Linked DNA regions of Callithrix jacchus. The protein of the gene in region 3 interacts with the protein of the main gene of each other region in a pairwise test. Links are inferred from orthologs where the notes say so. Each region holds a gene or a part of one and is shown on either strand. Other genes may lie near its edges. The genes, in order: UBXN6, MED18, TRIM39, WDFY3, EIF4A2, POLI and PSMD9.

Region 1 (4,280 bases), on a different chromosome or scaffold from region 3:
CCTAACAAGCTGTCAGGGAGACCTCACCATCCCCTGTTCCCAAACCCAAGAGGGTTGTTGAGAAGTCCAGGTGATGTACCCCATGCCACGCCACCCTTGTGTCAAGACCCTGGGGTCAGCTGACAACAGAACCAGCCTTGCCCTGGCCACGTGACTCCATGCCAGGCTCAGGGCTGTGCAAGTACAAAGAGCTCAGGTAATCACGGCCCTGCCCTGTGGAGCCCTCTGCCAAGGAGGATTCCGTAATCCTCTGAGCACAGTGACCTGGCAGAGCAGCCCTCTCTCCCAGCTGCTCGGATGCGTCTGTCTCGCCCATCTCCTCAGGCCCCTCCCGTGAATTCAGGCGCTGTCACTTTCCATGCTATAGATCTGTAAAAACTTCCAGGAGACCAGGCTCTCAGTTCAAGCCCTATACTCCTCTGGCTCTGCTCAGATTCCCGGGAAGCCCTCCCTCCTCCTCTGGAGGCTTCCGGAACCTGCTTCGTGCCCACCCCTGCCTATCCCGTCCTCCCGCAGCTGAGCAGATTGGGTGGAAGAGATGACTCATGAAGACCCACCCTGGCCCCATCCCATATCTAGGTCTTTCCAACAAAACAGCATTTCCCAGGGTGCCTCACCCCAACCGGCTGTGGGCCCTGCTCCCCCGGGCAGTCACAGGGACCCTTCTGGAACCTCATTCAGGGAACGTCAGCGTCACTCCACTGCATAATGTCCTCCCACTGCAAAATCCTAAGGCCTCCCTCGGCCCAGAGAGCCCTTCCTGGCCTGGCCCCATCTCTCCTGGGCTCCCTGTCGTTCTTCCCACACCCCAACTGCTCCCCGTTGTACGGCCCTGCACTGTCTGCGCCTTCTGCCCAGAATGTTCTCCTGGGGGGTGGGAGGAGGTCAGGGGATCTGGAAAGGGCTAGGGCTACCACAGGGAGAGAAGGAGGGGGCTGATTTCCTCACAGCTGAAGTCTCGCTGTCCTGGCAGAGGTCTTCCCGGACCACCTGGCGGTCCCTGCTCACCCTATTTCGAGGCCCTGGGCACTGCCTGAGCTCTCATCCCAGGCTTGTTGGTTTATTTACCAATCGGCTCCCACTAGGTGGTGAGCCCTGGGAAAGCAGCCGCCTTGTCCTGTCCGCCACTGCAGCCCAAAACAGGACTTGGTGCCCACCCGCCCCACACACCCTGGAGTATCACTCCAAAAGGGACCTCTGCACGCCTTTCCTTTCCTTCCCGTCCCTTCCCGCCCGCCCCTCCGCTCCAATCTTCCCCCCTATGCCTGGGCTCTGGGCTGATCCAGCCATCGCCCTCACACCCTGGATCCTTCCTGTCACGCCCAGTCCCAGTGGCTCTAGTACCCCGTTCACCCACTATTGGTTGAATCAATGAAGGGCTCCCCCCATTTGCCCACCTCTCTCCCTGACCCCTCTGTCCCTGACCCCTCTCCCTCCTTTGCTTTCCTGCTCAGCCTCTCCCCCAGGAACCCCAACGTCCTCACTATGGCCCTCCCTCCATCACCACCCCACTGCCCGTGATTCCCTGACCCGCACTTCCTGCCACCTCCCTGCATCTCCTCCTACCCCTTCCCAGCCCCACCTCTTCACAATCCCTTCCATTATTGCTTATAGACCCCTGCCCTGGCAGCCTGGCTGACCTCCTTCCCCTTCACTCTCCGTCGGTCCCCACCACTCCCTGGCCAGCCAGCTCCCTGCAGCGGCCCCAGCTCTCCAGGTTCCCTATTCTCAACCCAGCAGCCCTCAGCCTCACACTGTCCCCGGTTCCACCTCTTCCCCTACCTTCCATGTGCCATCCCAGCTGGCTTAGCCCTGCCCAGGCCCTTCTCTCGAAGTCTTCCCTAGACAATCCAGAAGTAGGCCTGGCAGCTACCTCCTTTCCCTCCCCTCCCACCACCATCTGTCAGTCCTTCACCTCCAGTCTCCTCGCACACCGTTCTCAGCCCTTCACTCCCAATTCGCAGGGACCTCCCAGGTCACTGACGACTCTGCCCACCACCACTTCCCTGGCCTTCCAGACTTCCTAGTCTGTCGTCAACCTCCCACGTGCTCCAGATCCCAAGCCCACATCCCCTCTTCCCATGGATGCCCCACAGTGTGTGTCCTCCTCCACGCTCAGCTCCCATCCCTGGTCACCCAAATTCCCCCAAATCATCCGGGCCGCTTCAGAACCAGCCGGGTCCCCAGACCTCTCCCTCACCACCCGCCTCCGGACTCATCATCCCTTTTTTCCCCCAGGGTCGCTCCACTGACTCCCAACTTGCTGCAGCCCCGTCGCCCTAGACCCCCGCCACAGCCTCCGAGGCCCGACCACTGACAACTACCCTCCTGGCCCCTTCCCCCGCCTCTTCCCGACCCGCCCCCGGGTCCCTCCCACACGCCCTCCTGCCCCGCCCCCAGGCCGCTCTCCGCTCTCCCCTCCCCCTGACGCCCACGACGCCCACCTAGGCCCCACTTGCCCCGCCCCCGGCACCTCTCCCGTTTCCCTCATTCGCCGCCGCCGCTTTCAGCCCCTCGCCCTCCGATCTCCCGCGCACCTCGAGGCCCCAGACCTCTCTCCCCGGCCGTCCCCGCCCCTCAGGGCCTCAAGCCCCAGCGATCCTCACGCACCCCACGGAGTCCGTGAGCTTCTGACCGGGTCCCGCGCTCTTGAACTTGATGTCGGCCTTGAACTCCTGAAAGAATTTCTTCATGGTGGCGGCTGGCCCGGCGGCTGGGGGCCGCAGGGGCGGGGGGCACGGGGCCCAGTCGGGGAGGGGCCGCCCAGGACCAACCACCGGAAAAAAAATACCGGGCCGCCGGAAGTCCCGCCTCTCCGACACCAGCCACGTGACAATCAGCCCGGCGTGCCGCTCTACGGCTCGGTGCCTCGCGGCCCAGGGCGGACGCTCTGTACGCCGGAGCCGCGTCTCTGTGGTTCTGCCGGACTACGTTGCCAGGGCGACGAGCGCGCTTCTAGATTGGCTACAGTGCCTTGCCTGGCGCCTTCCGTGGGGCTCCATAAACGGTGACAAACGTTGATGGGAGAGGGACAGGCCGACTGAACCTCGCAGAGAAAGTACTGGGCCCTGACCTGTTCGCTGCTCAACCTAAGCTGGGCGCGGTGGCTCACGCCTGCAATCCCAGCACTTTCGGGGAATCGGGTGGGAGGATTGCTTGACTGAAGTTGGAGACCACCCTGGGCAACATGGCAAAACCATGTTTTCCATAAATTTTTTTTTTTTTTTAATTGTTGCCGGGCGCGATGGCTCACGCCTGTAATTCCAGCATTTTGGGAGGCCGAGGCGAGTGGATCACCTGAGGTAGGGAGCTCGAGACCAGCCTGACCAACACGGAGAAACCCCGTCTCTACCAAAAATACAAAATTAGCCGGGCGTGGTGGCACATGCCTGTAATCCCAGCTACTTGGGAGGATGAAGCGAGGAGAATCGCTTGAACCCGGAAGTTGGAGGCTGTGGTGAGCTGAGATCAAGCCATCGCACTCCAGCCTGGGCAACAAAAGCAAAACTTGGTGTCAAAAAAATAATAAATAAATAAATTAGGTGAGAGTTGTGGCCCGTGCCTGTATAGTCTCAGCTACTTGGAAGGCTGAGGCGGGAGGATTGCTTGAACCCAGGAGGTCCAGGCTGTAGTCAGCTGTGATGAAGCCATTGCATTCCAGCTTGGGCCACTGAGAGAGATTTTGCCCAAAACAAAACAAACACAAAACTAACCTTCCCTGTCTGCTCAGAGCTTACGTGATAAAGTCCCAATTCAATGTGGGGCATTGGAGGCCCCCACGATCTGGCCCTGTTTTGGTCCCTGACCGCCCCCCGCCCCACCCCAGCCCATGCACCTTATCTAGGAGCTGTTGAATACAATGCACTTGACTGGGACCTGGGGATCCACTTTGTCGGGCAAGACAGAGAGAAACCAGTTAATAGTGGCATCTTTGGGCTGTGCATTCTGCAAAGAAAGATAAAGTGACAGTTAAGCCTCAAAAAAAGGGAATTGGGGGTCAGTTGCAGTGGCTTACGCCTGTAATCCTAGCATTTTGGGAGGCCAAGTCCAGCAGATCACTTGAGGTCAGGAGGTCAAGACCAGACTGGCCATCATGGTGAAATCCTGTCTCTAAGGGCGCCAGTAATCCCAGCTGCTCAGGAGGCTGAGGCAGGAGAATCACTTGAACCCGGGAGGTAGAAGCTGTAGTGAGCCGAGATCTCAGCACTGCACTCCAGCCTGGTGACAGAACGAGACTCCATCACACACACACACACAGTATTTCAGTTAAAGGCAGATGT
Region 2 (2,976 bases), on a different chromosome or scaffold from region 3:
ATATGCTGAAACCCCAACTTGAAAAAAAAAAAGAAGAAGAAGAAAATTAACTTTACTTGCAGTGAGCCAAGATTGTGCCACTGCACTCCAACCTGGGCGACAGAGCGAGACTCTGTCTCAAAAGAAAAAAGATGACACAAATGTCACATAGGGAGGAAAAGAGTATTGATACAAGAGAGGACTAATATTGAGTCCTAGTCCTCCAGTGTTTAGGGAAGATGAGAAACACCAAGCAAAGAAGACTTAAAAGGAATGGTCAGCGAGTTAAGTGAAGAACCAAGAGAGTTGTGTCTCAGAGGCCAAGGGAAGAATAGATTTCACAGTGGGTATAATCTACTATAACAACCATTTCAGATGTTGCCAAGGGGATGAAGATTCTATGAAGCAATTAATTCTCTCCTACTTAGATACAGAAGAGGAAAGCTTTTCCTGATAAAAAGGAAACTTTAGCTGGGCGCGGTGGCTCACGCCTGTAATCCCAGCATTTTGGGAGGCCGAGGTGGGCAGTTCACGAGGTTAAGAGATCGAGACCATCCTGGCCAACATGGTGAAGCCCCATCTCTACTAAAAAATACAAAAATTAGCTGGGCATGGTGGTGCATGCCTGTAATTCCAGTCACTCAGGAGGCTGAGGCAGGAGAATCGTTTGAACCCAGGAGGCAGAGTTGCAGTGAGCTGAGATCATGCCACTGCACTCTAGCCTGTGACAGAGCGAGACACCATCTCAGGAAAAAAAAAAAAAGGAAACTTTATATTTCTTCTATAAATGAAAGACTTTTATTTGTTGGAAATTGAAGGCAATTGTTAAAGTATATGACAACAAAATAGTGTTATTGGCTGGGCATGTTGGCTTACGCCTGTAATCCCAACACTTTGGGAGACCAAGGCCAGGAGTTCAAGACCAAGCTGGACAACAATGTAGTGAGACCCCATTTCTATAAAAGCAAATAAATAAATACATAGCTAAAACAGTATTATTAATTTTTTTTTTTTTGAGATGGAGTCTCACTCTGTTATCCAGGCTGGAGTGCAATGGTGCGATCTCTGCTCATCAAAACCTTCACCTCCCAGATTCAAGTGATTCTCCTGCCTCAGCCTCCCGAGTAGCTGGGATTACAGGCACGCGCCACCACACCCAGCTAATTTTTGTGTTTTTAGTAGAGATGGGATTTCACCATGTTGGCCAGGGTAGTCTCAATCTCCTGACCTCAGGATCTGCCCACCTCAGCCTCCCAAAGTGCTGGGATTTCAGGCATGAGCCACCATGCCCAGCCAGTATTATTACATTCTAGATAGACACTGTAGCTGATTAAAGGCTCTAAGTCCAAGGCATGTTGGAAATTAGCATTAGAGAAGGCCTAAAGACTTTGTAGTACTAAATAAGAAAATTCCAAAAAATTGAAAAGGAAAATAATAACTGTCTCACAACGTTATACAATATTTTGCTAGTGTAACTCCTCTAAAATCTCATGTGTTGGCCCTATGTGTTGTGAAATGCTTCACTAAACTGCTTTGGTTTTTCATTTTAATTTTTTTCAATTTTATGCTAATTCCATGACCTAAAAGGAAAGATAGGACTCAGAGGTGCTTTTTCCCTTTTCAGGAAGTGTTTTAGATCACAGTTTGGAAAGCCTCATCCACCGCCTTCGTGGTTTGTGTGACAACATGGAACCTGAGACTTTCCTTGACCATGAGATGGTATTCCTCCTTAAGGGCCAGCAAGCCAGCCCATTTGTTCTAAGGGCCCGACGCTCTATGGACAGGGCAGGGGCACCCTGGCATCTGCGCTACCTGGGACAACCAGAAATGGGAGACAAGAATCGCCACGCCCTGGTGCGAAACTGCGTGGACATTGCCACGTCTGAGAACCTCACCGACTTCTTGATGGAAATGGGCTTCCGCATGGACCATGAGTTTGTTGCTAAGGGACACTTGTTCCGAAAGGGCATCATGAAGATTATGGTTTACAAGATTTTCCGCATCCTGGTGCCAGGGAACACAGACAGCACTGAGGCCTTGTCACTTTCCTATCTCGTGGAATTAAGCGTAGTTGCACCCGCTGGACAGGACATGGTTTCTGATGACATGAGGAACTTTGCAGAGCAGCTAAAACCTCTGGTTCACCTAGAAAAAATAGACCCCAAGAGGCTCATGTGACTAAGAGAATCTCTCCACATTTGGGGCCTGTCCTTACTTGTTTGAAAAAATGTTTTAAATGCTCCATTTCACCACTGCCAGCATTCTTCCTTCAGGGAGGAGGATGCCTCGTGATGATTTCGTTTTCATGACAGCCTTTCTACATTAAAGGCTCAGGACATCACAGAGAATCTATCTAATCCCACTGTATAAAGAGGAGAAACTGGAGTAAATTAGGTTTTGGAAATAAAAATTTCTTGTTTGGCCATTTGTGTGTAAGGTTTATAACATTAGAGGCTGTGAGCTTGTGCTATATGGTAATAAAGGCAGTGGCCTCGAATTTTGTTTAGGAAGTCTTTATTTACCCCTAGGTAACACAGATTTTCCTTCTTAGCTTTATAGTTTTAACTTTCACATTGAGATCTTTAATTCATCTAGAGTCCATTTTCTAGGGGGTTTATAAAAACCCAGGTTTCTTCTCCTGGCAGTGAATTCGTTTTTCTACCACCATCCAAAGAACAGTGTTCAGTGCTTTGTGCTGCTACCATTGTCACATAGGTTTCCATGTAGGTATTTTATTTTTAAGTTCTCCATTTCATTTCATTTTTTTTCTTTGTTTCAGTGACAGCAACACAATGTTTTTATTATTAAGGCTTTATAGTAGAGCCAGTTCTACCAGTAAGGCAGGTACCCTTCCCTTTTTGTCCTCTAAAATGGACTTACAGTGTAGTGTAGTAATATTTCAAAAAATAATAATAAAAGAAAATAGACTTAGCATCCAGGTATGGTGGCTCATGCTTATAATCCCAGTACTTTGGCAGGCAGGACAAGAGGATTGCT
Region 3 (4,183 bases):
TACTCGGGAGGCTGAGGCAGAGAATCGCTTAAACCTGGGAGGCGGAGATTGCAGCGAGCCGAGGTCAAGGCACTGCACTCCAGCCAGGGCAACAGAACGAGGCTCCGTCTAAAAGGGAAAGGGAAAGGGAGAAAAGAATTGGACATTCTCTTGTTAATTTCCTTAGTCTAATCACATTCCTGGTTATCTACAAACAGAAAGCCAGAAAGGAGGGCTATCAACATCTTATGCACCACAAATTAACAAATCAAAACCAAAACCAAATCTATCATCACTCTCCCTCTGGAGCCACGGCTAAGGAGGCTCAATGCCCAGTTAGTGGCTTTCAAACTCCCTTACAAGTGAGGCATCTTGTGAATTAGAACAAGCACTGCTGCTAAAATCCCTAACGGCCATATAGCAATGCGAAAAAAGGTATCAAACGTAATTTTCTCATTTAATCTTCATCAATTGTTGGCACCAAAAAAAAAGGAACAGTAAAGAAAAACTAGACTGCTGTAATTAGCATGTGTGATAAATACCTCAGACATTGAATCATAGCTTCTGTAAGTAAATAGTTTCTGGCCCCCAAGATGAAAGGTTAAATAATGCAAGGTGTTTGTAAACAGCAGCACAACTTACACCGGAAACTAGAGCACTTTCTCACCAAGCAGAGTACATCAAAATTTGCTCACCTCTTTCAGTCAACATTCTGCATGACTAGAGTTGGGGGCGGGGAGGCGGAGCTAGCTATCTTTTCTACCAGCCGAATCACACCCCTCCTATCACTAACCCCTCCTCCTCAGCTCCTTCACACCTCTACCCAGTACCAACCCCTCCCCAGCCCCATCACCTCTTCCCCGGCCTCATCACCTTATCCACTTCCACCAAAATCACAGATCTGATAAGCTTCCAGCAGCACGCGAGCAAAACAGGGAGGCTATAATACAAAAGTCCGCAGTCCCTACACAAACACTACACCAGCCGAGAAAGTCAAGTCACAGCCCCAGAAGTGAAAAGAACCGACCTTGGCTCTCAGTTAATCAGCGTTTATCCGGCCCATGTGTTGCGGTCGGATCCCGTGCGAAAGAGCCAAGGACACAAAGGTGAGCAGTAGAGTCGCGGTTCCAGCTCTCTCCCGGCTCCCACTACAGCGGGGTGGGTAATTTTGGTAAATTTCGCCAAGCAGGGGCAGGATAAAGAGCATTTGGAGTCTACTGCGGGGAGAACTTACCTAATCCCTGAATGTTAAAAGGCCAAAACACCACTAGTCGGAAGTGACGTGCCAGCTGAGTCCCGCAGGTCCGCCACGTAATTGGCCGCCGCCACAGCTAGCCACCCTCTCACCGGACTGGCCCGAAGATAGGAAAAGTGTGAAAGTCCACAAGCCGCCCTCGCCCCGCCCTCCTCAGCGACTGCCGGCTGCACCGGGGAGCGGCGGCGCCTGGCCAGGGTCGGGACCTGGAGCCTGGACGAGACAGGCTCGCCGACCCCGGCGCCCGTCCAGCGCCCTGCGGGCAATGGGCTTCAGCGCTCGAGCACGCGCATGCGCGGGCCTCTTTCTCCAGAGGATTCCTCGGGTCACCTGGACGCCAGCATCTCGGCCACCTGCACCTCCGGGTCCCTTCTCGGCCTTGATTCCTCCTGCTGGTTCTCATCGCCGGGCCTCTTTCTTCTTCCGCAGGCACCACTAGACCCTGCTGCGACCGCCTGCCGACACCCTGGGTTCCACTGACACCAGCCTCGGTGCGGCTTCCGCTTCCGGCGAGTATTGTGTGTCGCGCCGCGGGGCGGGGGCGAGGGGAGGAGGAAGGAGGGAGGCAGCGCTCCGGCGGCTCCGCGCCCCGCACTCCCGGACCCGAAGCCGGGAAGGTAGGTGCTGTCCCGCCACCGCGCCCGGGCCTGGGGCCTGCCCCCGCCGGCCGGCTCCGCACGCCGCGTCCCAGCGCCCCGCGACTGCGTCACCGGCCCCCTGCACGTAACCACAGCTGCCTCCGCCCGCCTCGGGCCCGGGCGGACGTTTTGCCGCCCCGGCGACGTCAGCGCGTCCGGCGTTGCTTGGCTACCCCGCCGTTCCCCCGTCCCGCTGCTGCTCACCTCCCCGGGTGAAACTCTGACGCAGTCACCGCGGGTCTCGGCTGCGTCATAGCGGCGGGCATCCCACCTTCACGTCATACCTCTTCCTCACCTGGACACGCATCCCTCCCTACCCTGTCAACCACGACGTCTCCTCTTTCCCTTCTCTAATCCCCCTGCCCCAGATCTGGCGGAAGAAGGTGGAGATGGGGGTGGGACAGAATTATGGACCCCCGCTCAGGAGAGGGTCGCAAGGTGGGACACCCTGAAGAGTGGTAGAAATAAAATGAGTATGTCCCTGAAGTTTGCCCTTCAGCTGAGACACAAGGAGTAGATGGAGAGGAAGGACCAACCCAGAGGCACTCAAGGTCTCACTATGGCTATAGCTCCAAGTCCTCGCTATTCCTCCCTAACCCTTTCCCCATTTCCCTCACCACTTCTTTGCCAGTCTAGATCGTCCTGGTGCATTACTGTGCATACAGTTCTACTCAAGTGAGGAGGCCACCTAATTTGTAAAAGACTGAGGAAGGGGTAGAGTCACCACTAGTTAAAGGTGGATTCCCACAGGTAGAGAACAATCATCTGACTGAACTTCTATTGCTGACAGAAGAAATTCAAGTCCAAAGAAGTTATCAGCTCCTACTCCAAACCAAACACATTTGTGTGTGCCAACCATATATACGGAAACAGTTGTTAACCCACCTCATTACATGGCCACTTATCTCTCAGCACATTGATCTACCAAATTTCCTTCCTTCCATTAGGTCCCTGGATAAAGATGGGGGTCAGGGGGAGAAAGGGTTACGGGAATAGATAAATCAACTTAGGATGGATTGGGGGACCAACCTTCTGTTTCATAAATCTCTCTGATGTATTTCCAGTTCTTCTGAGGCTGCACTTGAGGGAGATCTGATTGCCTCTCTTCTGTCTCTTAATTCCCAACCACTTCAGAACCCATCATGCCCAGGCATTAGTTATCAATAGCTATATGATACACTATGCCCAGGCATTAGTTATCAATAGCTATATTGAAAGATTCCAGTCACTACAAATAGACATGTTCCTCTCTTTTCAAGAAGTTGTTGGCCTGGGCTCAGTAATGTACTCTTTAATGTAGTTGCCATAATTTATCAGTTTTCAGCAGTTCTAAGTGTCCAAATGCACACAACAGAAATGGAATGTTGCATGAAACATTTCATTCCAAGAAGAGGGCATACTTTCTTTAGGCTAGTCTGATAAAAGGAAGAACAATTTCAGATTTTCCTGAAAAGAGGTTGTCACCTTTGCCTCATTCATTCCATTTATCACACTTTAGAACAGTGTTATCTAACCCTTTCAATTTGAGGACTCTTTTTGCTTATCTGTGGTGACTGATACAACAAAAATTATGCCCAGACCTTTTTTTGTTCAAGCTTATCAGCTATCATTAGTGTCAATGTATATTATGTCTGGCCAAAGACACTTCTTCCAATGGGCCTGAGGAAGCCAAAAGGTTGCATATCGTGAGAGAACAATGTCAGAGAATGAAGCTTAGACTCCAGTGGACTTATCATAAAGCTCTTACAACATTAAAATATGACTGATATAAGAAATGTTAATATTTTTATGACTTTTTTACTCCCAAATTCCTTTCTTGTCTATTAGAAGCATATGTCAAACTAGGATACAGTGATCTGGAACTATTGGTTCTAAGATACAAGTGGAATGAGCCTGGATCAGAAGAAGTATGCTGAGCTAGAGTTGAAGGAAGCTTCTCTTTCTAACGAGAAGGCGGAGGTAAGAGACAAGATGGATTAGGGGTTGGATGTCAGTTTACTAACAAAAAAAGTTGATGGTTGGGAGTCACAAGTTTTGGAAGTGGAGAAACAAAGAGGTTGAATTGATTGGAAGAGAAGATGGAGAATAACAAGATGGGGCAAAAATTTGGAGTTAGGACTTAACATAGGGGTAAATGTCAGGCCAGGGATGCAAAAATAAATAAATAAAACGTTCAATTAACATTTTTATTTTCTCTGTGTCCTTCCCCACCCCCAAGTTAAATTATGGCAGAGACAAGTCTGTTAGAGGCTGGGGCCTCTGCAGCCTCCACAGCTGCAGCTTTGGAGAACTTACAGGTGGAGGCAAGCTG
Region 4 (2,726 bases), on a different chromosome or scaffold from region 3:
TGGTACGTAGCCAGGTACAAGACGCCCAAATATTCCTAGTTTACCTTACAGCCGGACTTCTATTCTCCCACACTGTTTCCTAAAGAAGGTCCACATTATTTTGGTTACTAGCCTAGTTTAAGTGGAGATACTGTGAGCAACTTGAAAGAAATGACATCAGGCACACAGGCTGAGTTGGAAAGGAAAAAAAGACCACTGATAATGTCTTTGGGGATTTAAAAAAACATATTTATAATTAATTGGTAAGCGAGGGATGTCAGACAAACCATAAGTTGTTCATTGAGTTAGTGGTTTAGTTTGAAGTTTCATGTTACAGGCAGTTAAGTCCTTATTTAGAAAAAAGGCCTTTTATATCTATTTACAATATACATAGTTACTTGCAAAGAAGTAAGATTTACAACCATTTTCTAAAAGCCTTTTTTGTTGTTGGTTTTTCCAAATAAGGATGAGTAGCTCTATAAAAATGAGATGCAAGAAAAGACAGTTAATAAGTAGCTTGGAGACAGCTACTGTCATCACGGAGAACTGGATATCAGAAATGTTGTTCCTAGGAAACACCTCATACTCTTCTTGTGCTGTTCACCTGAATCGCGTCTGCCCCATTCCTGTACTCTACACCCGTTTTATTCAATGATCCCTTTGAATTTTAATACTTCAAACACGTGGTATGAAGAGATGTGTAAACGGAGACTGTTTTCAATGCCTTCCAAGCTGGGACAGGAGAATCGGGAAGGGGTCTACAGACCGTGGTCTCCACTCAGCTTGTTGAATCTTCAACAATTTCGAGGTCCATCTTCTGAACCTCTCTCATGCTGTAAGTTATAATAACAGTTCTGACAAACACGCACCGGGGATGAGATTTTCAAGCGTTTGATTTCAGATTGAAATCGACTGCACCTAAATGAAAGGAAAAGTCAATGAATTATAGGTCTTCTCCATGCTTGATCACTGGCACCAGAAACATTAGTAATTCAATGGAAAGCTTGCAGTAAAATACCAAAGGCCATACTGGTTTGGGTCGTGTGGCTGAATAAGGACTAAAAGGAATGCTGTATTATTTGTTTCAGTCTATGAAGAAAAGTAGTATTAAACCAGGGAAGCTATTTCTTTGAAGAAAATTGAAAAAATGAAAACAGAAAAACAAAGTTAAGATTTTCCTACACAATAAGGCCAAGGTGTCTGAACAGCGGTGTGAGGCCATTCTATCTGTGCAGACTATTCTTATGGCCTATAAGCTTGAAAGGTATGTCAGTGTCTTTTCTTGGAGCTTGACATATTTCTCTTGGAAATTAGAAAAACTCATTAGTGGAAATTTGAAGACTCACTAGTGAGCTAATGAGTATCTAATTTCAAGAGAATTACTAATGACTCATTAGTGAGTCTTCTAATTTCCAAGAGAAATACGACAGTTTGATCACTATCAAGTTCCACTGTGGTTTTAAACATTTTGATTGATCCACTCCTCAATAATTTCTTAAACTGGCTTTCCTTTTCCAGTCCCAATACCCTCATTTCCTATTTATCTTACTAGAACTATTTGAAGGAAACTATTCTTAAGAGATGTTCAAAGTATTTAAGACGTATTCAGAGTTCCTATTCCTGGAATAAAGCTGGGTGTGATTCAGGATGTGGTATTAAATCACTTGAGAAATGAAAAAAACATTTTTGTAGAGATGGGGTCTTACTACGTTGTCCAGGCTATCCTTAAACTCCTGGCCTCAAGTGATCTTCCTGCCTTGACCTCCCAAAGTACTAAGACTACAGACAGAGGCCACTGTGCCTGGCCTGGAAATGCAGATTTATGTTTAGTCCATTAACCTACCAATAAAAGCGTCCAGAGAGTAAATTAAGTAATATATGCTTATGGGTTTAAAGAACTGTCACGGGACCTTACAGAACCCTCAAAAGTGTCAACAGCTCTCAGCCATAGAGACCACAGGTTGTGTGTTCGGGACAGTGCTTCCTTCTGCGCCTGCTTCATTAGAACTTATCACGGTTTGGTCGGTTTCCAATAATGCTTCTATCCAACATTTAATGGCAATTAATAATTTCAAAGAATTACCTATATTTAAACAATATTTTGAAAAGTAAACACTACAAAGAACAGATGTATGCCAGCTTACATACAAGAATGCTATTAGAAATTACTATATTAATAGGGTGGGTGTGGAGGCTGACACCTGGAATCCCAGCACTTTGGGAGGCTGAGGCAGGTATTGCTTGAGCTCACGGATTTGAGACTACCCTGGGCAACATAGTGAGACTTTGTCTCTACAAAAAATATAAAAATTAGTCAGGTGTGGTGGCTCTCTCCTATAGTCTCAGCTACTTGGAAGGCTGAGGTGGGAGGACTGCTTGAGCCTAGGAGAGCAAAGCTGCAATGAGCTGTGATTGTGCCAAACTGCACTCTAGCCTGGGTGACAGAGGAAGACCCTGTCTCAAGGGAAAAAAAAAAACCAGAATATAATATATATATATATGACTAGTGGCTCTGTGCTTTGACAGGCCTGCTCTATAAAACCCATTATAGGTTTTTTTTTTTTTTTGAGACGGAGTTTCGCTCTTGTTACCCAGGCTGGAGTGCAATGGCGCGATCTCGGCTCACCGCAATCTCCGCCTCCTGGGTTCAGGCAATTCTCCTGCCTCAGCCTCCCGAGTAGCTGGGACTACAGGCACGCGCCACCATGCCCAGCTAATTTTTTGTATCTTTAGTAGAGACGGGGTTT
Region 5 (3,986 bases), on a different chromosome or scaffold from region 3:
TATTTAGAACCAGTAACTTCTATAATATAGAAAACTGAGTCAACTAGTAATCATTCTTTAAGTCGGCCTTCTGAATCAATAAGAAAATGTTTCCCGATAGTCTCGATGATATTTTGCACCATGGGTAGGGTTGTAATTTAAAGTTAAATGACTATATACGTTATTTTTTATTTTTACCGAGGGACCTGAGATGGGGCTAATTGAAAACATCTGGAGCTTAAAGACCCGTGCAGTTTACGCAGCGAGGATATAGCTCTGAATTCCAATAAATCAACATTTCACTATATATCGGCAATCAAAACTCAAAGCCTTTTTAAAAAATGATGAATACAGACGGAATCAAAATCAATGTAGTCCCAAAGCGTCCATTAACATTCGTGCGTTCCAAGGAAAATTACTGCTTCTTGGCTTCTATCCATTTGCAAAAGTTTGATTCTTTTAGGCATTCTTCACACCTGTTAGGTTAGAATCAGCTTTCTTTTTAAGAAAAAGAGAACGAAACACTAGAAGCGATATGAGAATAGAATTGGCTATTCCAGAGACATCTGCAAATGACACTCCCATTTTTTTCCTCGCGCTGCAAAATGTACCGGTAAACCGGACTTTCCGGGACTCGCTGGGTGGCCGACATTTTCCCTAGCAGGAATTTTATGTTTCCGAGAGCTGAATGGATGTTAACGTCAGGCTAGACGCCAGGCAGGTCTTCATTGTCAAATTAAACAGCGGTGGGAGCAAGCGGAATAACCGAATTCCCCTCCCGCACCCGAGCGCCGGCAGCCAGCAGAGAACCGGGACCCCTCGCCCGCGGGAAGCCCCGGTCGCCCAGCAAGCAGCGCCTCCGGCTCCAGCTGGGCTCCTCTGGCCCGCCTCTGCGTCAGGGACGCGGAAACCCCGTAGGAGCTGGGCGGGCGGGGAGCGCGGTGTTTGAGAAACGCTGCAGCGATATTCTTCCGCCGCGAGGCAAAGAGTCCCAACCCAACCCTGGGCCCTAGGATTTCCAGCGACCCTGGAGTATCTAGAAATTGCCACATTTGTATTTTCCTACCGACTTGCTTAGGATTTTATCCGAAGTAATGACCCCAGGATCACAATTTTGTGGCTGGCCGCAGAACGGTGAGAAAATTCCTCCGCGAGAAACGGGTTCCGGCCACGAGCCTATAAAAAACGGGTGGCGCGGTGGTGCTGTCTTTTCAGTCGAGAGCTGAGTGGGTTTATCGGATCATGTCTGGTGGCTCCGCGGATTATAACAGGTATGGCGCTCTGTTGGCGGTCGCGGTCTGTAGTGAAGGTCATAGGGCGCCAGGGGAGGTGATAGTGGATGGCACGGAAACAAGAAACTAAAAATTCATGGACGCTTCCTTGGGGTACAGCACCCCTGTGCCCTTCGAGAAGCTTCCATGATGGGTAGGGCCCGGATTGTGGGGAGACAGGACGAGGGTGCGGAAACAGTGGCCAAGGGGCGTTTTTCCTCCCTAAGACATGAGGAAATTTCAGCTGCTTCCTCTCCCAGTGTAGAGGACGGCAAACAAGCAGCAAAAAGTCTTGGCGCAGACCGTGTTCGGTACAGTGTAACTAGGACCTGAACCTTGTGGTCAACCGCACGACTTGAGGGTCCTAGGCTTTAGTTGGCGAAGGGTTGGAGGCAGCGGTCTGCATTCGGCCACCGCGCGGAGGCGACGGGACCGGACCGGCACTGGTGCCGGCGAACCGTTGGCATCGCCCTCGCCAGGCCGCTCCGCCCGCGTCAATCACCCGGCTTGCGCATTGTTGGGGGCGGAGCTCAGGGCGCGGAGCTCTCGCGAGACGCTCCGCCGCCGAAACGGGAGCGCCGTGCGCTCGGGCCTGGGGGGCTGCCTACACGGGCGGCTGCAGCCCCCAACCTTTAGAGAGGCGCACAGTGTGATACTCGCCGTGCAGCGGCTGCTTTAGGTCGGGCACGGAAGGGTAACGTGCAGAGACGGGTTGCAAAGGGCTATCCCTTTAATATGCAGTTAGGAGGCTTGGAAGGGATGTTGTCTGACTGCAGTGTTATTGTCAGCAGAGAACATGGCGGCCCAGAGGGAATGGACCCCGATGGTGTCATCGAGGTAAGAAACGGTTTTGGATCTTGAAGCTTTGAAAAGGTGAGTGTGTTCATCTCATTTATGCCTGCATTATTTTTTTCTAATTTACAGAGCAACTGGAATGAGATTGTTGATAACTTTGATGATATGAATTTAAAGGAGTCTCTTCTTCGGGGCATCTATGCTTACGGTTTTGAGAAGCCTTCCGCTATTCAGCAGAGAGCTATTATTCCCTGTATTAAAGGTAAAAGAAACTTCGATATTTTTAGGAAATGAATTTTTGTTCTACATAGATCTGAACCATGAAAGGGAAAGTAACCTCTGGGGGACTAGCACCTGTTTGTATTCCTTAAAGTGAAATGATGGCAATCATCTTTCGGGACTGACCTGAAATGAAGAGAATACTCATTGCTGATCACTTGATTATTTGGGCATAATTCATGTTCCAAATGGAATACATGGTGTGAAGTAGAAGTGACAATTTGATGTGGGATCGGTAAATATGTATCCTACTTTTTTTAGGGTATGATGTGATTGCTCAAGCTCAGTCAGGTACTGGCAAGACAGCCACATTTGCTATTTCCATCCTGCAACAGTTGGAGATTGAGTTCAAGGAGACCCAAGCACTAGTATTGGCCCCCACCAGAGAACTGGCTCAACAGGTATTGATAGTGTAGTTCAAAAAAACTGCTTGCGTGTTGCATAGGTTTCAGGTTTCACAACTGTGAAGAATTTAAAACTTAGTATAAATTGGTCCTACCAGATCCCTCCATTTAATTGTCCATGCATGCAGGGAGTTTTTGTTGAAAGTTTTAAAAGAACTGGGTATGCAGGTACGGTTTGTAGGGTTGTACATGAATAGCTTGAGAATCGGAAGCTCTCTGGATATACTAGATCTGTCCCCATTTTTTAAGTTTGAATGCAGTTGTGCAACATGAAAACTGCAGTGACATGTTACCATTTGACTGTCTCCGTAGTTTGTGATGCATCTGTTGCATGCTATGTTTTCAAAGCTCACTGCTATATTGGCTTTGAAGTAAACCTTCCTAATAAAGCTGTAGGCTTTATTGAGGTCAAGATTATGTAGGGCACAATACTCTCTGGGGAAGAAAAAAATCAACATTTGCCCTAGCTGTAATTACAGAACATATATTTCACTATGGATTCCTTCGTTCACACAGTGAAGAATAATGTAGGAAATGTTATTCTTGAATTGTCTAGCTGATGTGTGGGGCAACAGCATCCCAAGTCTGACAAGGCACAAGAAAGACATAAAGGGAATTTTACATTGAAGCAGTTAGGTCAGTGTGCATTTTAAGCTTGGAAGTAGATTTGTGCTGTGCATGCATAAAAGCTGTTGGCAGACCAGATTATATTTGCCATTATGCTTTAAAAATTAGTCATTGACCCTGGAATTCTGCAGGATAATAATTAAGCCTTGGTTTTTAGATCCAAAAGGTAATTCTGGCACTTGGAGACTATATGGGAGCAACTTGCCATGCCTGCATTGGTGGAACAAATGTTCGAAATGAAATGCAAAAACTGCAGGCTGAAGCACCACATATTGTTGTTGGTACCCCTGGGAGAGTGTTTGATATGTTAAACAGAAGATACCTTTGTAAGTATTGTCTTTAAATGTATGCTTTTTTTTTTTAACTGTTACATAGTTGAAAAGTCGTACTATCACCCAGTAGATCTAGAGATGACATATGGCCTTTTTCTAACAGCTCCAAAATGGATCAAAATGTTTGTTTTGGATGAAGCAGATGAAATGTTGAGTCGTGGGTTTAAGGATCAAATCTATGAGATTTTCCAAAAACTAAATACAAGTATTCAGGTAAGGATTACTTCACCCCTCTCTTAAAGAGATGTGGTTTAATGCAGGTGCTGTTACAAATACATCTGGCATGTTTTATTGTCGTT
Region 6 (3,500 bases), on a different chromosome or scaffold from region 3:
AACTTTATGCCTGTTGTTGCTACATAATTAATAATTACACTTCCTTTCACTCAAAAAATGTCTTGTTTTAGATGATAAGTTATATGGTTTCCCTGCATAGCAATGGATTATTAGGCTGTTACCAGATTTTTGCTCTTAGGCATTTTCTTGTAGAAATGTTGGCATATTTTTAAAGGGATTTCCATAAGGTAAGTTCCTAGAGGTGAATTGTTGGATCAAACATGATTTGCATTTCAATGTTTGGATACTGTTATATGTTACACTTGAGGTTTCCCAGCATATTGCTGGTATATGTGAGAGTGTTAGATAAAAAGTCTTTGCCTGATAGGAGAAGAGGATTGTTTTGACTTGTAGTTTTTCATGAGTAGGGTTGAGTATTTTTTCATATATTTTTGGTCATTTATGTGTTTTTTTCTGTTAACCTATTCACTTGTACCTGTTTTTTATTTGGGTTGTTCATTTTTTTCTAAGTACTAAGTACTTAGTACTTTTTTATGTCACTTTTTTTGTGAAAAAAGTTTTTCTTTTTTTAAGTTATTTTATCAATTTTTCCTTACAGTATTTTTCTGAGTTGAAGTGGGAACCTAGCCAATTAGTCCTTTACTGTATTTATCTCTGACCTGTTTATGATATATAACCTTATTATTTATTTCACATATTTATTCTACTGCATGTATACCTTTCTTCAAGGTAGTTTTTTTCCCTCTAATTAGAAACTCCTCCTTTGAGCCTTGTATAATGACATGTTTAATAATGTATCTTGCTTGTGAAGTTGATACCAAGAAAGAGGTTAACTTTAGGGATGGAGGCTGGGCATGGTGGCCTACGCCTGTAATCCCAACACTTTGGGAGGCTCTGGTAAGGGGATCATTTGAGGCCAGCCTGGGCAACATAACATAGCAAAACCCTGTCTCTACAAAATTAAAAAAAAGAAATTAGCTGAATGGTAGCATGTGCCTATAGTCCCAGAGGCTGAGGTGGGAGGATTGCCTGGGCCCAGGAGGTTAAGGCTATAGTGAGCTGTGGTGTGCTACTCCACTCCAGCCTGGGCAACACAGTGAGACCCTGTCTCCTTAAAACTAGCAACAGCAAAAACCTTCAGGATTGGGATAATTAGGGATTTGTCTTGTGACCTAAAATCAATCAATGTTTAGTGATCCACCAGCTTCATGTGTGATTCTGTATTTAACTTGTTTTTCTACTTAGTACTTAAACCTTACCCTTTATTTTTCTTATATAGTATTCTTTTGATAAACTCGTTTGTTTTCTACATCTTATTTTGCATGTCAGGTATATGCTTTTGAAACTAAATTGCAGAAATTGATAAAGGAAATGCAAAACAGTCATTTTATATGATCAGACATGTTGTCAGTCTGTCCTGAGAGGAGGTAATGGTTGTCTCTAGGTAAATCAGGAGATTTTTGGTGTTCACCATGTCACATTGTTATCTTTATTGGTTTCTCCTTATTGTCAATGCTGACATCAGCCAAACCAAAAAGCACTTTTGGTATTTGTGGAAAAAACAATCTGTGTGGAATGACATAGTCCTTTTATTTCTGAGCTTCAGATTATACGACTTTAAGGATCTATGCATTTTGTATATTAAGAGACTTGCATTTGTTTTCCCTTACCCAGCTGGTGTCGGTAGGTGATTAAGAGTGAAGTTAAAAAACTTTCTCAATGATTTTAAAGTTATTAGTCTCAGTGTTAATATATGAAAATTGATAGTTCTTTTGAATTTATTTTGAATTTTGGTTCAATTCAATAGAGTAAACATTTGACTTAAGGACTAGATATTGTGCTAGATGCTGGGAATTGGAATATCTGTAAGTTGTGGTTCATCTCTCTCTGTCCTAAGTAATACGCTTGGGAATGGCTAACAAAAATACCATGTTACAGTATAATTTGAAAGTTGACTGACTTTCTGTTTTATTTAGTAATAATTGTAACTTTTAAATGTTATTTTGTTTTGCCTCATTTAAACTCTTGGGAAAATATAGCTAAAATATACTATTATAAGCAGCCTATAGTTTATTCTTTGACACATTTCTTCAAGGTCATAAATTTACTATAAACATTGATATTTAATGTACTACAGATATAAAAATTATAGGTCTGGAAGATTTAGCTAAATATGTTGCCATGAACTGCCCTAGGAATGTCATTTTTAGATGTTTTGGAAAATATTGCCTCAACTTAAGATGTGGTACAGAAAGAATTCAGTTAACTGAGGGTTTTATTAAAGATATTATGGAACTATGAATGTATATAAAACCTTTAACAATAAATTTGATACATTTTTAAGCACCAGTTAAATTTATCCTAGTTATTATTATTTATATCTGTGCTCCAATATTATTTCAATTTAGAATTACTGGAAGAATTTAGTCCAGTTGTTGAGAGGCTTGGATTTGATGAAAATTTTGTGGATTTAACAGAAATGGTTGAGAAGAGACTACAGCAGCTGCAAAGCGACGAACTTTCTGCAGTGACTGTGTTGGGTCATGTATACAATAATCAGTGTGAGTGGGCTCTTATTCTACCTACTAACTAAAAGTACATATATTTCTTAATGTTCAGTGAGTTTGCTGTGTGATTCTGAAAGATTCATGACTTTTGTTGGAGGTATAGTTATATTTAGTCTGTAATCTGTCTAGGACGGCTAAAATTAGGTGTTGCTATTCTATAATAAGTATTAAAATTTTCATGATGTGGCTCAGTGCTCTGTGCACTTTTCATTTGCACAGAACATTGTTCCTGTTCATCTGCACAGAGCATTCATCTGTGCAGAGTTTTTATCTGACAGTGCATCTGCTCACATTTTAGAAAGCCATACCCAGCTGGGCACAGTGGTGCACCCCTATAGTCCCAGCTACTTGGGAGACTGAGCTGAGAGGATTGCTTGAACCCAGGAGTTTGAGTCCAGCCTGGGAAATAGAGCAAGATCCCATCTCTTCTTTTTTTTCTTTTTGAGACAGAGGTTTGCTGTTATTGCCCAGGCTGGAGTGCAGTGGCACGATTTCAGCTCACCATAACCTCTGTCTCTCAGGTTCAAGTGATTTTCCTGCCTCAGCCACCCAAGTAGCTGGGATTATAGGCATGGGCTACCATGCCCAGCTAATTTTGTATTTTTAGTAGAGATGGGGTTTCTCCTTGTTGGTCAGGCTGGTCTCAAACTTCCAACCTCAGGTGATGCACCTGTCTCGGCCTCCCAAGGTGCTGGGATCATAGGCGTGAGCCACCGTGCCTGGACGATCCCATCTCTTAAAGAAACGAAAAGCCAAACCTCTTCAGGTCATTCTTTTTTCTTTTCTTTTTTTTTTTTTTTAGTTGTAATTTTTAAATTTTATGTCCTTGCTGTCATGGACAGGAAAATCTGCAAAATTCAGTGACTAGCATAAGATGACATGTCTTTGATGAGAGTGATATGAAGATAGTGTTAGGGCTCTGTAAGGATATTTACATGCTAATTAAGCTTTCAGACATCTTAAGACTCTGCA
Region 7 (3,500 bases), on a different chromosome or scaffold from region 3:
ATGGCTGGAAAGTGGCTGCCTCAGGAGGACAGGTGATGAAAATGTGAAATTGTGATGGTCGCACAATTCTGTGACTACACTGAAAACTACTTTAAAGGGGTGAATGTGTAGTATGTGAATTACTCTCAATCAAACTGTTGTAAAAATAGTAAAAATAAGCTGAGCACAGTGGCTCACACCTGTAGTCCCAGCACTTTGGGAGGCCGAGGTGGTTGAATCAACGGAGGCAAGGAGTTTGAGACCAGCCTGGCCAACATGGCAAAACCCCATCTCTACTGAAAATACAAACATTAGGCAGGCATGGTGGCAGGCACCTGTAGTCCCAGCTACTCAGGAGACTGAGACAGGAAAATCACTTGAATCAGGAAGTGGAGGTTGCAGTGAACTAAAATTGTACCACTGCACTCCAGCCTGGGTGACAGAGTGAGACTGTCTCAAATAATAATAACAATAAATTTCACATGGACTAAAGGAAAAATAAAAATAAACCAATAAGAGAATTAAAAAGAATTTCTTTAAGCAGACACAAAATGCAAGAGCCATAAGCAAAAAAACTGATAAATTTTACAAAATCACCATTTTATTTTTATTATTTTTATTTTTTTAAGAGACAGGGTCTTGCTATGTTGCCCAGGCTAGAGTGCAGTGGCTATTCACAGGTGCAATCAATCCCACTACTGATCAGCACTGGAGTTTTGACCTGCTCCATTTCAGACCTGGGCCAGTGCACCCCTCCTTAGGCAACCTGGTGGTCCCCCCGCTCCCGGGAGGTCACCATATTGATGCTGAACAGTACAGACACCCAATCGGCATAGCGCGCTACGGCCCAGAACTCCTGGACTCAAGCAATCTTCCAGCCTCAGCCTCCCAAGTAGCTGAGACTATATGCACACGCCACCGCGCCCAGCAAAATCACCATTTTAAATGTCCATATGAATTACAAATTTGATGACAGTATCGGTGCAGAAACGATGGCCTGACCACTAGGCAGGGCACAGGCCCCTGCCAGCTGTCTCCTGACTTGACCCAGCCCAGCCTGCACTGATGGGTTATAGCCAGCTGTCTCCTGACTTGACCCAGCCCAGCCTGCACTGATGGGTTACAAGAGGATGAGCAGTGCAGCTGAGCAGGAGTCAAAAAACCCAGAACTGGGCCAGGCGCAGTGGTTCACGCCTGTAATCCCAGCACTTTGGGAGGCCGAGGCGGGTGGATCACGAGGTCAGGAGTTCAAGACCAGCCTGGCCAACACTGTGAAACCCCATCTCTACTAAAAATACAGAAATTAGCTGGGCATGGTTGCATGCACCTGTAGTCTCAGCTACTTGGGAGGCTGAGGCAGAAGAATCGCTTGAACCCAGGAGGCGGAGGTTGCAGTGAGCAGAGATCCGACCACTGCACTCCAGCCTAGCGACAGAGCGAGACTGTCTCAAAAAAAACACAAAAACTGTTGGTTAAACTGGAGACTTCATTTGGGAACAAAAAACTTTAGTTAATAATTTCCCTGGGCTTTCCCAAAATATCACTCCTGATAAGTGTGGATCTTTGCTAAAAAACAACACCAAAAAAAATTCCAGCCTGGACAACATAGCAAGACCTCATCTCTACAAAATATAAAAAAATTAGCCAGTGTGATAGCTATGATGGTGCCACCACACTCCAGCCTGGGTGAAAGAGCATGACTCTGTCTTTAAAAAGAAAAGGGCTAGGCACGGTGGCTCACACCTATAATTCCAGCACTTTGGGAGGCCAAGGCGGGCAGATCATTAGGCCAGGAGTTCGAGATCAACCTGGCCAACCTGGTGAAACCCCATCTCTACTAAAAATACAAAGGCCGAGAGCAGTGGCTCACACCTGTAATCCCAGCACTTTGGGAAGCCGAGGCAGGCAGATCACAAGGTCAAGAGATCGAGAACATCCAGGCCAACATGATAAAACCCCGTCTCTACTAAAAAATACAAAAAATTAGCGGGGCGTCGTGGCACACGCCTGTAGTTTCAGCTACTCAGGAGGCTGAGGCAGGAGAATTGCTTGAACCCGGGAGGTGGAGGTTGCAGTGAGCTGAAATTGCACCACTGCATGCCAGCCTGGCACCTGGTGATAGAGTAAGACTCTGTCTCAAAAAAAAAAAAAATTAGTCAGGCATGATGGCGCGCACTGGTAATCCCAGCTACTCAGGAAGCTGAGGCAGGAGAATCGCTTGAACCAGGAGGTGCAGTGAGCCAAGATAGCGCCACTGCACTCCAGCCTGGGTGACAGAGCGAGACTCCATCTCAAAAGCAAGAAAAAAGAGAAAGAAAAGATCTCTAAGAAACTTTGCTAAATGAAAACAGGGACAGGATAGAGGAGAGGGGAATTTGGGTTAAGGTAGCCAGGAAAGGCCCCCTGCGAGCATGTTACTGGTGTAAAGCAGAGGGAGGATGAAGAGGAAGAGCATTCTAGGCAGAAGGAACAGCAGGTGCCAAGGCCTTGAGTTAGGCTGTGCCGAGCAACACCATTAAGGCAAGTCCAAGGCCTCAGCAACACTTCCTGCCCCAGCAACTCCAGGGCTATAGTCTGGAGGCTGAGTGCTATGATCTGGATTTCTGTGCCCCCCTCAAATTCATATGTTGAAATCCTAACAGCCAATGTGATGATATTGGGGGGGGGTCTCTGCAAGGTGATCAGGTCATGAGGGGTGGAGCCACCACTGGGATTAGTACCCTTATACAAAAGGTTCCAGATTTCCGGCTTTCCACCACGTGAGGATACAGCAAGAGGGCACCACCTAGAGGCTAGGAAGCAAGCCCACCCCAGACACCAAATCTACTGGTGCCTTGATCTTGGACTTCCCTACCTTCAGAGCTGTAAGAAATGAACTTCTGTTGTTTGTAAGCCACCAATCTATGGCATGCTGTTAGAGAAGCCAAAACAGCCTGAGACACCAGGCAACCCCACTCACCCCCTCACTGTGCTGCACCACACTGCCAATGTTATGCAGAGACTGGAAGTTCTGGGTGTTCACAGAGCCAAACTCCACAATCTCATCATCCACTTGCAGACCCTGGAGAGGGAAGGAAAAATGAAAAATCAGATTAGAGGTTCAATGTGCTCCTGGTGTTCTCTAACCTTCAATACCTAATTTAATGCCAAGGTCACGAACTTGTTTCCTACAGGGAGGGCCCAAAACTGAGGTAAGGGATGTTGAAACCTCATGCAGGAAGAGGCAGTGGGTAATGGGGCCACCTTCCCCTGGCATTCCTTTGAGGGCAGCTCTAGTAAAGATGACCAGGTCTGCCCAGTGTCTGAGAGTTGGCAGTTACCAGACACTGTGAAGGCCTTGAGGAGCACGGGAAAGGCTAAATGCTGCTCTCTGGGGTCCTAACCCAGATTCAGGGGTAAAAGAAGGCAAGCCAGGCTAGGCCATTTTATTCAGTGGTCAAAATTTAGACAAGATATAGTGCGGGCACAGTGGCTCACACCTGTAATCCCAACACTTTGGGAGACTGAGGCAGGCTAATCAC

Evidence for each region.
Region 1: the proteins of TRIM39 (region 3) and UBXN6 interact in binary tests that used the Homo sapiens proteins (3 or more experiments, as listed by UniProt). The link is inferred for Callithrix jacchus from reciprocal best matches to the Homo sapiens genes TRIM39 and UBXN6.
Region 2: the proteins of TRIM39 (region 3) and MED18 interact in binary tests that used the Homo sapiens proteins (3 or more experiments, as listed by UniProt). The two-hybrid records come from large-scale screens. The link is inferred for Callithrix jacchus from reciprocal best matches to the Homo sapiens genes TRIM39 and MED18.
Region 4: the proteins of TRIM39 (region 3) and WDFY3 interact in binary tests that used the Homo sapiens proteins (3 or more experiments, as listed by UniProt). The two-hybrid records come from large-scale screens. The link is inferred for Callithrix jacchus from reciprocal best matches to the Homo sapiens genes TRIM39 and WDFY3.
Region 5: the proteins of TRIM39 (region 3) and EIF4A2 interact in binary tests that used the Homo sapiens proteins (3 or more experiments, as listed by UniProt). The two-hybrid records come from large-scale screens. The link is inferred for Callithrix jacchus from reciprocal best matches to the Homo sapiens genes TRIM39 and EIF4A2.
Region 6: the proteins of TRIM39 (region 3) and POLI interact in binary tests that used the Homo sapiens proteins (3 or more experiments, as listed by UniProt). The two-hybrid records come from large-scale screens. The link is inferred for Callithrix jacchus from reciprocal best matches to the Homo sapiens genes TRIM39 and POLI.
Region 7: the proteins of TRIM39 (region 3) and PSMD9 interact in binary tests that used the Homo sapiens proteins (3 or more experiments, as listed by UniProt). The two-hybrid records come from large-scale screens. The link is inferred for Callithrix jacchus from reciprocal best matches to the Homo sapiens genes TRIM39 and PSMD9.

The regions. Positions count from the first base shown.
Region 1 is NC_133523.1:4,202,917-4,207,196, forward strand, and holds the start of UBXN6 (UBX domain-containing protein 6), read right to left. Parts: upstream 2,801-4,280; 5' UTR 2,694-2,800; coding exon 2,611-2,693; intron 2,145-2,610; exon of another isoform or gene 1,797-2,144; coding exon of another isoform or gene 1,783-1,796; intron 1-1,782. UniProt on the Homo sapiens protein: May negatively regulate the ATPase activity of VCP, an ATP-driven segregase that associates with different cofactors to control a wide variety of cellular processes.
Region 2 is NC_133508.1:65,007,660-65,010,635, forward strand, and holds the end of MED18 (mediator of RNA polymerase II transcription subunit 18), read left to right. Parts: intron 1-1,603; coding exon 1,604-2,157; 3' UTR 2,158-2,476; downstream 2,477-2,976. UniProt on the Homo sapiens protein: Component of the Mediator complex, a coactivator involved in the regulated transcription of nearly all RNA polymerase II-dependent genes.
Region 3 is NC_133505.1:35,052,398-35,056,580, forward strand, and holds the start of TRIM39 (E3 ubiquitin-protein ligase TRIM39), read left to right. Parts: upstream 1-1,383; 5' UTR 1,384-1,743; intron 1,744-1,759; exon of another isoform or gene 1,760-1,851; intron 1,852-3,699; 5' UTR 3,700-3,831; intron 3,832-4,090; 5' UTR 4,091-4,097; coding exon 4,098-4,183.
Region 4 is NC_133504.1:113,000,769-113,003,494, reverse strand, and holds part of WDFY3 (WD repeat and FYVE domain-containing protein 3), read right to left. Parts: intron 898-2,726; coding exon 774-897; 3' UTR 1-773. UniProt on the Homo sapiens protein: Required for selective macroautophagy (aggrephagy). Acts as an adapter protein by linking specific proteins destined for degradation to the core autophagic machinery members, such as the ATG5-ATG12-ATG16L E3-like ligase, SQSTM1 and LC3.
Region 5 is NC_133516.1:15,751,232-15,755,217, forward strand, and holds the start of EIF4A2 (eukaryotic initiation factor 4A-II), read left to right. Parts: upstream 1-1,186; 5' UTR 1,187-1,221; coding exon 1,222-1,250; intron 1,251-2,038; coding exon 2,039-2,087; intron 2,088-2,174; coding exon 2,175-2,307; intron 2,308-2,415; exon of another isoform or gene 2,416-2,484; intron 2,485-2,585; coding exon 2,586-2,725; intron 2,726-3,512; coding exon 3,513-3,681; intron 3,682-3,790; coding exon 3,791-3,900; intron 3,901-3,986. UniProt on the Homo sapiens protein: ATP-dependent RNA helicase which is a subunit of the eIF4F complex involved in cap recognition and is required for mRNA binding to ribosome.
Region 6 is NC_133514.1:97,474,867-97,478,366, forward strand, and holds part of POLI (DNA polymerase iota), read left to right. Parts: intron 1-2,369; coding exon 2,370-2,522; intron 2,523-3,500. UniProt on the Homo sapiens protein: Error-prone DNA polymerase specifically involved in DNA repair. Plays an important role in translesion synthesis, where the normal high-fidelity DNA polymerases cannot proceed and DNA synthesis stalls. Favors Hoogsteen base-pairing in the active site.
Region 7 is NC_133510.1:125,105,493-125,108,992, reverse strand, and holds part of PSMD9 (26S proteasome non-ATPase regulatory subunit 9), read right to left. Parts: intron 3,041-3,500; coding exon 2,939-3,040; intron 1-2,938. UniProt on the Homo sapiens protein: Acts as a chaperone during the assembly of the 26S proteasome, specifically of the base subcomplex of the PA700/19S regulatory complex (RC).